2 linked regions of the Macaca fascicularis genome follow. The protein of the gene in region 2 interacts with the protein of the main gene of each other region in a pairwise test. Links are inferred from orthologs where the notes say so. Each region holds a gene or a part of one and is shown on either strand. Other genes may lie near its edges.

Region 1 (4,860 bases), on a different chromosome or scaffold from region 2:
AAACCCCATCTCCACTAAAAATACAAAAATTAGCTGGGCTTGGTGGCTTGCGCCTGTAGTCCCAGCTACTCAGGAGGCTGAGGCAGGAGAATCGCTTGAACCTGGAAGGCGGAGGTTGCAGTGAGCCAAGGTCAGGCCACTGTACTCCAGCCTGGCAACAAAGTGACACTCTGTCTCAGAAAACAAAAAAAAAAAAGAAAGAAAAAGGGAAAAAAGCAAGGGCTATGCCTGAGAAATGGCATGGGAGGAAAGGGGCCTCTTCCAGCTGGCCCAGGGTCCAGGTAAGGTGGCCCCATGTTGGCCCCCACTGACCCTCCCACCCCCCACCCCCAGCTACCTGAACGACCTGGAGCGCATTGCACAGAGTGACTACATCCCCACGCAGCAAGATGTGTTACGGACCCGCGTAAAGACCACGGGGATCGTGGAGACACACTTCACCTTCAAGGACCTACACTTCAAGTGAGCGAGCATATAAACAGGTGGGAGGGGCAGGACCTGCCAGCCTTTGGGGTAGCAGAGGCAGGGGCTGGTCCAGGATCCCCCAGCCCCACTGAGGTTTTGCGAGGCTCACATGTTCTGGGCCAGCACATCCTCACCACCTGGTGAACCAGCAGTCAGGATCCATGCCACCTCTGCCAACTGCTCACAGCCTCTGCTGCTCCTGCCTGATGTGGCTGCAGCCTGTCTGCTGTCCAAGCCCCAGGCCCAGAACCAGGGGTGAGGTGGGCAAGTGTGGATGATTCCAGATGTCAGCCAACCTGGGAAATGGGGCAGAAAGCCTCCCCCAGCGCTCCCTTCCTGGAGCTAAAGTGATCCTATATCTGCAGGATGTTTGATGTGGGTGGTCAGCGGTCTGAGCGGAAGAAGTGGATCCACTGCTTTGAGGGCGTCACAGCCATCATCTTCTGCGTAGCCTTGAGCGCCTACGACTTGGTGCTAGCTGAGGACGAGGAGATGGTGAGAGGCTGAGAGAATGCTGCGGGTGGAGGCAGCGGGCTTGGGGAGTGGTGGCTAGTGTTGACCTCGATATTCTGCCCCTAGAACCGCATGCATGAGAGCATGAAGCTATTCGACAGCATCTGCAACAACAAGTGGTTCACAGACACGTCCATCATCCTCTTCCTCAACAAGAAGGACCTGTTCGAGGAGAAGATCACACACAGTCCCCTGACCATCTGCTTCCCTGAGTACACAGGTGTGGGGACTGTGGGGACAGGGCCTCCAGAGAGTTGCTGTTTGTCCCCAGTAGCCCCTGGTGACCAGGTGGCCCTCAGGCGCCCCCCACTGGACAGAAGTGTAGCCTTGGAACATTTGCAGGGGCTGGTGCCTCACTTAGGCTTGTATAGTTATGTGTGCACATGTGGAGCCCTTAACACACTCAAGCATGTACCCCTGAACATGTGCACCTGGGCATCCTCCTTCACACAGTAGGGTACCCCTTTGCACATCTGGCATATATGGGCAGCCACACACATTGTCATATTGTGCACATGTGTGCACAGGTTGTATGCCTGGCCATCCACACGCACAGACCCTTGCTGCACATGTAGGATGGGGCTTGCCTGCTGCATATGCAGCACAAGTCTTCACCATTTTCTCTTCCCCAGGGGCCAACAAGTATGATGAGGCAGCCAGCTACATCCAGAGTAAGTTTGAGGACCTGAATAAGCGCAAAGACACCAAGGAGATCTACACGCACTTCACGTGCGCCACCGACACCAAGAACGTGCAGTTCGTGTTTGACGCCGTCACCGATGTCATCATCAAGAACAACCTGAAGGACTGCGGCCTCTTCTGAGGGGCAGCGGGGCCTGGCGGGATGGTGAGCCAGAGGGGCTGTGGCAGGGAGCTGGGGAAGAACTAAGCGGGCCTGGAGCCCCAGCAGGGGGTTCTGGGGGTGGGTAGGGGCTTGAACCTGGAGGGGGAGGGGCAATAGGTGACCAGGGGACAAGGGAGGAGGAGGCACAGGGTGTGAATCAGGAGGTCAAGTGAGTGGGGTGCAGGGCATGGAGGAGGTCATACAAGCAGGCCTGGCCCAGTGGTCCAGACAGAAGGGCCTGGCCTTGCCCTGGGACAGAACCAGAGGCCATTCTGATGTTCCCTGGAGAAATCTCACCTCCTCACCCACCAGGCCATTGGCCCAGCCTGGGCCAGCGGAGCCCAGCCCTCCTGCCCACTACCACCAGCTCTGTGCACACCTCCAGCTCTTGCCCTCCAACCTGTCTGAGCTTCCTGGGCTTAGGCTGGCCCCACTGGCCCTGGTGGAGGTGGGGATGACTCTCCCAGTGCCACAGACTCCCCTCCTCCATGTAACCCAGCAACAGAAGCTGGCTCCTGGGCGGCAACTGTGTCCCTGGTAACAAATGGGTAGGAAAAATGGAGAAGGGTCATTGTCTAGGGAGGTGGGAGAGAGGCGCGGCCTGGCTGCTTCCCGATCCATGCTCTGCTTTCCCCCCACCTCTAGGGCCACCGCCAACTCTGTACCCCCCAACCCTTGAAGAAGATGGGGGCAAGAAGACCACGCTCCCCGCCTGTTCCCTGGCCGCTTTTCTCCTCTTTCCTCTCTTTGTTCTCAGCTCCCCCTGTCCCTCAGCTCCAGATGTAGGGGAGGGGTTGCCACGGGCCTCCTTGTTTGAAGCCTGCCCTTGTCTGAGGTGCTGGTAATGGCCATGGTACCCCCTTTCTGGGCATCTGTTCTGGTTTTTAACCATTGTCTTGTTCTGTGATGGGGGGAGGGGGGCACATGCTGAGTCTCCCAAGGCTATGTCCGGAGGGGCGCCTGCTTCTCCAGCCTGGACCCCCAGCTTTGCCCAACACCAGCCCCTGCCCCAGCCCAAGTCCAAATGTTTACAGGGAGCCTCCTGCCCAGTCCCCTACCCCCCAGCCGCTCGGAGGCCCCAAAGGAAAAAGCACAAGAAGCGTGAGACACCACCATTCCTGGAGACCACAGTCCACCTACTCATTCTCGTAGCTTTTTAAAAAAAATATGAAAGTAAAGGAAAAAAAAAAAAAAACTGCAAATCTAGAAAACTTTTTAGAGAAAAACTATTTAAAACTGTCAGATCCTGACCAGCAACCCCTCCAGCCCCCTTTCAAGTGACTCCGTGCCTTGAGTGTGTCTGCGTGTTTACACCTATCCCTCTGCTGGCCGCCCCTGTGCGAGCCGCAACCCTGCCCTGCCCTCCACAGAATTGGGTTCCAAGGGCTGTTCCAGACAACTGCCAACGTCACTGAGGGCCCTGCCCCAGCGGCCCTGGGCCCAGGCTCCATTAACCTAAAATGTAGCTCCCTAGCGCTAACCTAGGAACCGCCGCTGCCTGCTGGGGGGCCACACCCCTCATTCCCTTGTCCCAGGCCCGGGGCCTTCAGCGTTGAACACTTCCTTGCTTTTTTCACATGTTTTATGGAATTGTTCACCTGGTTTGAAATAATAAAATGTAGAAAGAAAAAAAATACCGAGAACTGATGGGTATTCTCTCCCAGGGGCAGAGGCCCCGGCTAAGGTGTGCCAAGGTGATGGTGGTCTTAACCTCAGTCCTCAACCTGGGGCAGGGCCCTGACTCAGCTTTCCGGGCCGTCCTGGAGCCCGAAGCTCTGGGCTTCATTTCTCCCACCTGGACTAGGCAGCATACATGTGGGGGCCGTGTGTCCCCGCCTTCCCAGCACTCTGCAGCTTTGGGTCTCGGGCAGCTGGACTGGCTTCTAAGGAAACTGTTGTAAAGTGCTCTTCCACACCGGGAGCAGGAGGGGTGTCCGGCACGTCTCTAACGTGTAAGGAGAAAGTGACTTACGACTTAGGTACCAAAGCCCGGAGAGTGTGCGTTGCCAAGTCCACACAGCCAGGTGGGCTGGATGCAGTCCAGGCTTGACTAAACCGAAGGCCATTAGGGGCCTTGAGACATATTCTGAAATGTCCCTGCCCCAGAGGGCCCCCGTCAAACCTGAAGGGTAGTGACAGACAGGCCCCGTATTACCATGTGATGGTTGCCACAGGCTGGGCCTGGGGGGCTGCAGATCATTGAAGATGGAAAGCTCCCTGAGGCTGTGGGAAGGGCCCGCGCGTTGCTGGGGAAGGGAACTGCAGATGACAAGGCTGGTGATGCTTGTGGGGCGGGCCCTGAGTGCCATCGAGGCGCCTAGACCTTCTCCTATGGGCAGCAGGGACAGCCGCGGCCTGAACGTGTCGGGACGGGCTGGGGGAAAAGCCGGCCTCCACAGGGTGGGGCTCCGGGGTTAACGCCTCCGCCTCCGGCCGCCAGGGGGCGCCGCCGCCCGCGTTCGGCCCTGTCTGGCTGGTCACGGAGGCTGACGTCAGCGGGTCCCGCGGAGGCCGCTGGACACAAAGGCAGCTTTGTGAGGAGGCGACGGCTCCGCGGCCACCCCGAGACAGAGCTGCTTGGGCAGGGGGCGGGCCGGGGTCGGCGCCGCGGAGGCGGGGAGGGAGGGAGGGAGGGTTGAGCCACAGCCCTGGGACCCCGCCCCCGCACACCTGCCAGTGCCCGGGGCCGAAGGTACGGATGAGATGAGAGGCTGCCGCCGCCCGGTCGGAAGGACATCGGCGCCCCCCAGGCCCGGTCCCCACCCCTGCCTGAGAGGGCCAACGACACGGAGAACAGGATCCCGCGCCCAACCCAGGTCCCCCGCCTTCTTTCAGAGGCCCAGGCCTGGACCCCGCTGAGCCGCAGATGTGCGAGCAGGAGCATCAGAGCCCTGATGCCCGCCCAGCAGGAAGCGGGCGGAAGATGGTTCCTTCCTTCTGTCCTGAGGGGGAACCCTGCACAGAGGGACCATTGAGGGACTGGCATTGTCTGCCTAACTCACCCAGTGCCTCCCTCCCTGGGTGGGCCATGCGGGGCC
Region 2 (5,600 bases):
GGCCCTACTCACCAGGAGCAGCTACAGCAGCAGCACCAGCATAGGCAGCAGGGGTTACGGCTGGGGGCTGCGGGAGGGGCTGCATCATGACTGGACATTGAAGGGGGCCGGTCCGCCTCCTCTGGCCCTGTGTTCTGGGGAAAAATGGGGCTACCTCAGCCTTCAGGTCAGAACCCACCAGACCCTCCACCTCTCCCCCACCCTCCCATGGGTGGCCCTGTTCCCAGGCACATGACCCTTCTGGCCTCCCGGGTGTTCAGGGATCTCCCAACTCCTTGTGGCCCCTCAGCTTGCCCCACCCCGTCTACCCCAGGGGAGCAGAGGCAGAAGGGGAGGTGGCATACCTGCTTCTCAGCCTCATGCGGGGTGGGCATGGGTGGGCGGAGGAGGTTGCCCAGGCTCCGTGGTGCCAGCTCTCAGACCCTCACCACAGCCTGGGGGTCTAGGGAGAGGGGCCAAGGTTCTGACTGAGAACCTGAAACCCCAGCCCCTGCCTGTCCCTTAGGAGGGGTCCTGAGAGGGTGTCTCCCTAGCAGGGCCTGCTCCTGCCTCTGGACCCGGCTCTGTCCAGGGCTTCTACCCCAACCCCAAGCTTACAGCAGGGCTGGGAGGGGGTCTAGGGTCATTGAGGAGGGGGCTGCAGCAACTTCTGGCCCCTCCTCCCAGGCTGGGCCCCAGATGAGGCCCCCACAGAAGGTTCCGAGACACCCCCATCCGCTCACTCCCTGGGAAGCCGGAAGCCTGGGTTCCTCTTTCTCGGTTTCCGGCTCCCAGCCCCTCCCAAAGGGGCCCCAAGAGTCTGGGGCTACCAACTGTGCGTGCGGGTGGTGGCCAGACTTGCTTCTAGGGCGTCTGGGGTGGGGAGTGGGCAGAGCAGCTCCCACCAAGAGTCCAGGTCTGTCTGCGGGTCCCAGAGGTCTCAGCCAGGGGCAGCAGGTTAGACCTGCCGCAGTGAGGTTTTAAGTGGGACTCAGGGCTGGACTCTCTGAGGGTGTGGGGAGGGGGGCAGGGCCCTGGTGAGGAGGGACGTGCCCCCCAAACATGGTTCTTTGGTCCTGCTACCTCCCTCCCAAGACTTCCCTCCCTCCTTGCCCACTGCCTCTAGGCTGTGAAACCGCTGTGGAACCAAGGCCGTACCACACAGTGCGCCAGCCAGGGAAGTGGGGGTGGCAGTGGGTGGAGGCACCCTCCTCCCCAGTCAAAGCCTCAGAGTCCCTGAGGGGTGTGGTGTGGTGCGTGTACCTCCCAGCGTTTGGTTGCACCATCGGCAGGGGAGGTGCACCAGGAGCGCCAAAGCTGTGGGTGGCCCTCGTGCCACCTAAGATACCACTTTGAACCCCAGGTCTCCTTGGGCAATGGCACAGGGGGGCCAATCAGTGCCCCGGAGGCAGTTGTGAACACCTGCGCCCACCTCTGCCCTCTGGGCCTCCATGCATGTCCACCACCCTCCTCCCTGGCCAGGAAGCTCACAACTTGGTTCTACTTTATTTTCTCAATCTTCATCCCCCCCGCCACGCCTCCCTTAGCTTGTGGCCTTTGAATGCTTGTTTCTGTCTGGTTGGTCTCTCTTGGCCTTCTGGGACGGTGTGTGAATGGCGCTCAGAGGAGACAGTGCTGGAGTTCTGCACTCTCAGGGCCCCCAATACCCCTGAGGCCTGGGCATGCAGAGGCCACTGCCCTGGCCCAAGTCTGGGGCAGGTGCAGCATCCCCCGGGACCTCGGCCCCTCACCGCCTGCCCAGCTTCCTCTGAGACTGTGGGTCCCACAGGTTCCTAGCAAGTAGATGAGGAGACAGAAGGTGGCCCCGCAGCTGGGCTTGCTTTCAGGGGTCAAGTTTCTAGGGAAAGGAAGGGGCGTGGCAACCTGAGGTTTGGTAGCTGTGCCCAGACGGGGCTGTCTGTGACTTCCCCAGGCAGCAGTTCTTCCTCCTCTCTGCCCCCACCCAGGGTCCTCCCCCACACTCTAGCACCCCGGAGACTGTCCCTCCTGGGCTACCATGTCCACCCCAGCTCTGAACTGGAGGAGGGGACATGTTTAGGGGTGCCAGGCCGGGGTGCTAGGGGCTGCATTTGCTGCAGAGGAGGGAGCCAGCCCCTTCTTTCCCAGCTTCAGGCCCTGGACCGGGTCACCTGTCCCTGGACTGGGCTTCCTGTACCCTTCTCAGGTCAGCTGGGGCAACCCATGTCCCCAGGCTACACCCCCTTCTCTCCTGGAGGATACAGAGTCTCAACTAGGGTCCTCCTGCTTGTCATCCTGGGATTGGGGACCCCCCTTCCCCAGCCTCCCAGGCTTTGGCCCCCAAGTCTGGGATGGGAGAGTCTGGACAGGCGGCACGTCTGGTCTCTGGGGATAGAGGCTCCCTTGGGAGTGGCTGCTGCTTTGCTCCACAGAAGGAAAAAGAACGTCCCAGAGCCTGCCCAGTCCAAAAAAAGAATAAGAAAATGTGACAATCCCAGAAAAAAATGTCATAACCTTTGGGAGGGGTTGAAGAGGGGCTCCATTCTCAGTTCTTAGCGCCCACCCAGGGCCTTTCCCATCTGCCACCCTCCACATCTGGCTGGTGGATGAGCCCTGGCCTGGCCCCTCCAAGGAAGGCCAGCTCTCCCCACCTCTGAAATGGTGGTGGTGACCCACCCACCACGCTCCTCTGGCTGCTGTTAGGGTCCCGCCTGGAGGAGCCTGTGTCCTCCTCCAGGTGCCTCTTTCTCCAGCCTCTGACGCCCCCACCCCTACCTCAATGCTCCCTACTCACCAGCGACCCAAAGGCAGGGTGGGGGCAGGAGGGGCCAGGTTGGGTCTGGGCCCCACCCTGGCTGCCGAAGGGGCGTGCACTGCAGCAGCAGGGACTCAAGTCAGACGGCAGGAGGGACTCCTGCGGCGCTCTGGAGGGAGGCTAGCGCCAGGAGCCCCCGATCGGCTGGGGCCGGGGGCGCAGCGCCTCCCCTACAGCTCGAAGGGCTGAGTGGCTGCCAGATCCAGCGGGGTGGGGGCGGGGGCGGACAGGGTGTCCCGCCCCGGCCCCTCCTCACCGGGCTGGCGGGGGGGAGGGAGACGCGGAAACCTGGGTTCTTCCGGCCCCCACCTTTAAGCAATCACTTCCCCAGGCTTTGAGCTCCACAAAAAGGGGAACCCGGCTGCAGCGCCCCCTCCCCCAAGCGCGGGGGGCGGGCTCCAGTTCCACTGCGGCCCAGGGTCCACGTGGACCTGGCGGCGGGAGTCCTTGGGGTTCGAGTCCCGTGCGCCGGCTCCCGAAGCTCCCGCCCCGCACGGTCCCCGGGCCCGGGCCGGGAGGGGCAGGGCCGCTGTCCCCGGCGCGGCGCGCGCGCACTCACCAGCCGCGCTCCCGAGCCACTCGCGCCGCCGCCGGCCCGCGCGCTCCAAGGTCCGGCCCGACAGTCGGGGAGGGGGCGCGGGGGCGCAGTGCGCAGGCGCCTCGGCAGCACTTCCCCAAAGCCAGGGGCCGGGACTTCCTCGCGCCGGGAGGCGCCGGGCCCGCCCCGCCCGCCGCGCCCCGCCCCGCCCCGCGCTCGGCCGGCTCCACACCCCACCCGCCCCGCCCGCGCTCGGCCCCCACAGTCGCTTGGGGGTGGCCCGGAGGGTTGAGGTGCTCGTAGTGGAGCCCTGGCCCCCGGGCCGACGGAGCTGCACGGTAGTAGATGGGGGTGTGGCCGTGGCCCCCGACTCTGCTCGGCGGGGCCGTTCCTGCCTTGCTGTTCGTGTGGGACTTGCACGACACTCCAGTGTGGAGGCAGGAGAGCGGGGCCCCATATGCTGCTTGCCCTGCTTGGGAAAGAGGCGGCTGCTGGAAAGGACCGATCGGCGGGCACGCCAGCCCGGCCCACCCCTCGCCTCCGTGAGCTTCGTCTGTAAAACTGGGTTAAGAGCCTGTCGTGCTGTGGGGGGTTCCCAAGGAAGGGGGAGATTCCTGTGCTGCGGGGCTGGGGAGAACTGGGGGTGCGGGTTCGTGCACCCGGAGTCATGTCGAATGTCTCCTGCGGGGCCTGGCAGAGTCCCTGCTGACCCGTGTGTCCCAAGATGTCTTACGGCTTAAAGCCACACTGTCCCCTTTGGCTGACTCTTCTCATCCTTTATGACTCGGTACAGATGTGGGCCAGGCTTCTCATCGCAGCATGCTTTGGCCCAGTGTCGGTGGCCCTGACCCTGCTCCGGAAGTGTCTGCAGAGCATCTGTGCCCCCCGCCCTCCCCGGGCCCAGCTGTGTGCAGCTCCCGTCCTACCCAGCACAAGCACTCGACCCGGATAGCTCCCAATGTCGGGGTCCTGTTCATCAAATGCCTTCCAATTGCACAGGTCAGGTGCACACCTTACACCTTCACAGAACTCTGAGGGGTGGAAAGGGAGATTTTACTTGTGTTCCTCATTCAATGGACAAGTATCAGTATCTGGGTGCCCCTGTGGGCCAGGCAGTGGGACCAGAAGCCAGCAACATAGATGGGCCTGGATCTGATGCTAGGGGCATAGAGTGAGTTGTGGGGAGCAGGCAGGGAAGGCCTGAGTGAGAGGCGGGAGGGCTGAGAGGGGAGGGTGTTGCACTGCCGAGGGGGGTGAGGGCCTGAAGGGGGAGGTCAGAGGTCAGAGGTCAGAGGGCCCTGGAGGACAGACTGCCTCTCGCAGCTGTACCCAGAGGTCTGGCCGACTTGACTGCAGAACCCTGTGACTGCCATGTTATCAGGCCAGGCAAGCAAAGGCAGGGGCCAGGAAGTCCACAGGGACAAGAGGCAGGCTGCTGCTTATTCAGCCCAAATAACACTCCTGGGAGGTGGGCACAGGTGAGGTCAGGGAAGCTCAATGAAGATGGGCCAGCACCTGGTCCAGGCCACACACAACCACCTGACCCCGCTGAGCCCGCCTGTTGTCTCCGCTGTGGGAAAATGCAGGTGTGGGCAGTTGGCAGTGGGTGAAGGTCAGTGCCCTCCCTGCCCCCTCGGGTCACTCTACAACCCCCCAATCATTCCCCCATCTCCTCTGGCCCCTTGGGCCTGCTCTCCACTCCCCTGGCTTCTGCCCCTTGGCACAGAGCATCCCTGAAGTCCATGGATGGAGCCAGGTGAGCTGGGCAGTTGATGGTGGAGGTGGGATTTGAACCCAGGACCCTCTGCCCCCTCACAGCCCTCAATATATTGGGCTTTGGACCACATGCCTTCCTTCCCATAGAGCTTTCTACAGGCAGGCGTCCCTCCAGGCCATGCAGAAACGTCCTGGGCCCCATTCCCCAGCCTCCTTTGCACATCGAGCCCCCGCTTTCCATGGGGATCAAAGGGCTTGAGTGCCAGCCTGACCCTGGTGCAGTCACTGAGGTCACTGTCTTGCTGGCCTTCTCTGGGTGCTGGGCCTGCTGGGCCTGTCTCTGCCCCTCTTCCCTCTTGCCTGTCTGATGCAGAGTGACCCATCCCCTTCAGAGCACTTGCTGCTGTGGGGCACCAAGACCCTTCTTCAAGATGAAACGGAGTCTCAGAGAAATGATGAAATAATACGTGATTGTCCCAGTAGATGAACTCATTCTAGGTACTCAGTCAATCCCCAAGACACAGAATCCTGAGGTCCAGGCTGCAGGGAGTTTGGGCAGGGGACACCAGGGCT

Evidence for each region.
Region 1: the proteins of RGS19 (region 2) and GNAI2 interact in a two-hybrid assay, tested with the Homo sapiens proteins (2 studies listed by BioGRID and IntAct). The link is inferred for Macaca fascicularis from reciprocal best matches to the Homo sapiens genes RGS19 and GNAI2.

The regions. Positions count from the first base shown.
Region 1 is NC_088376.1:113,287,623-113,292,482, forward strand, and holds the end of GNAI2 (guanine nucleotide-binding protein G(i) subunit alpha-2), read left to right. Parts: intron 1-333; coding exon 334-462; intron 463-830; coding exon 831-960; intron 961-1,044; coding exon 1,045-1,198; intron 1,199-1,610; coding exon 1,611-1,801; 3' UTR 1,802-1,825; intron 1,826-2,467; 3' UTR 2,468-3,456; downstream 3,457-4,860. UniProt on the Homo sapiens protein: Guanine nucleotide-binding proteins (G proteins) are involved as modulators or transducers in various transmembrane signaling systems.
Region 2 is NC_088384.1:120,217,166-120,222,765, forward strand, and holds the start of RGS19 (regulator of G-protein signaling 19), read right to left. Parts: upstream 3,399-5,600; 5' UTR 3,333-3,398; exon of another isoform or gene 2,753-3,332; intron 736-2,752; exon of another isoform or gene 598-735; intron 443-597; 5' UTR 375-442; coding exon 345-374; intron 135-344; coding exon 13-134; intron 1-12. Other genes in the region: protein LKAAEAR1, read right to left, coding at 4,325-4,342. UniProt on the Homo sapiens protein: Inhibits signal transduction by increasing the GTPase activity of G protein alpha subunits thereby driving them into their inactive GDP-bound form. Binds to G-alpha subfamily 1 members, with the order G(i)a3 > G(i)a1 > G(o)a >> G(z)a/G(i)a2.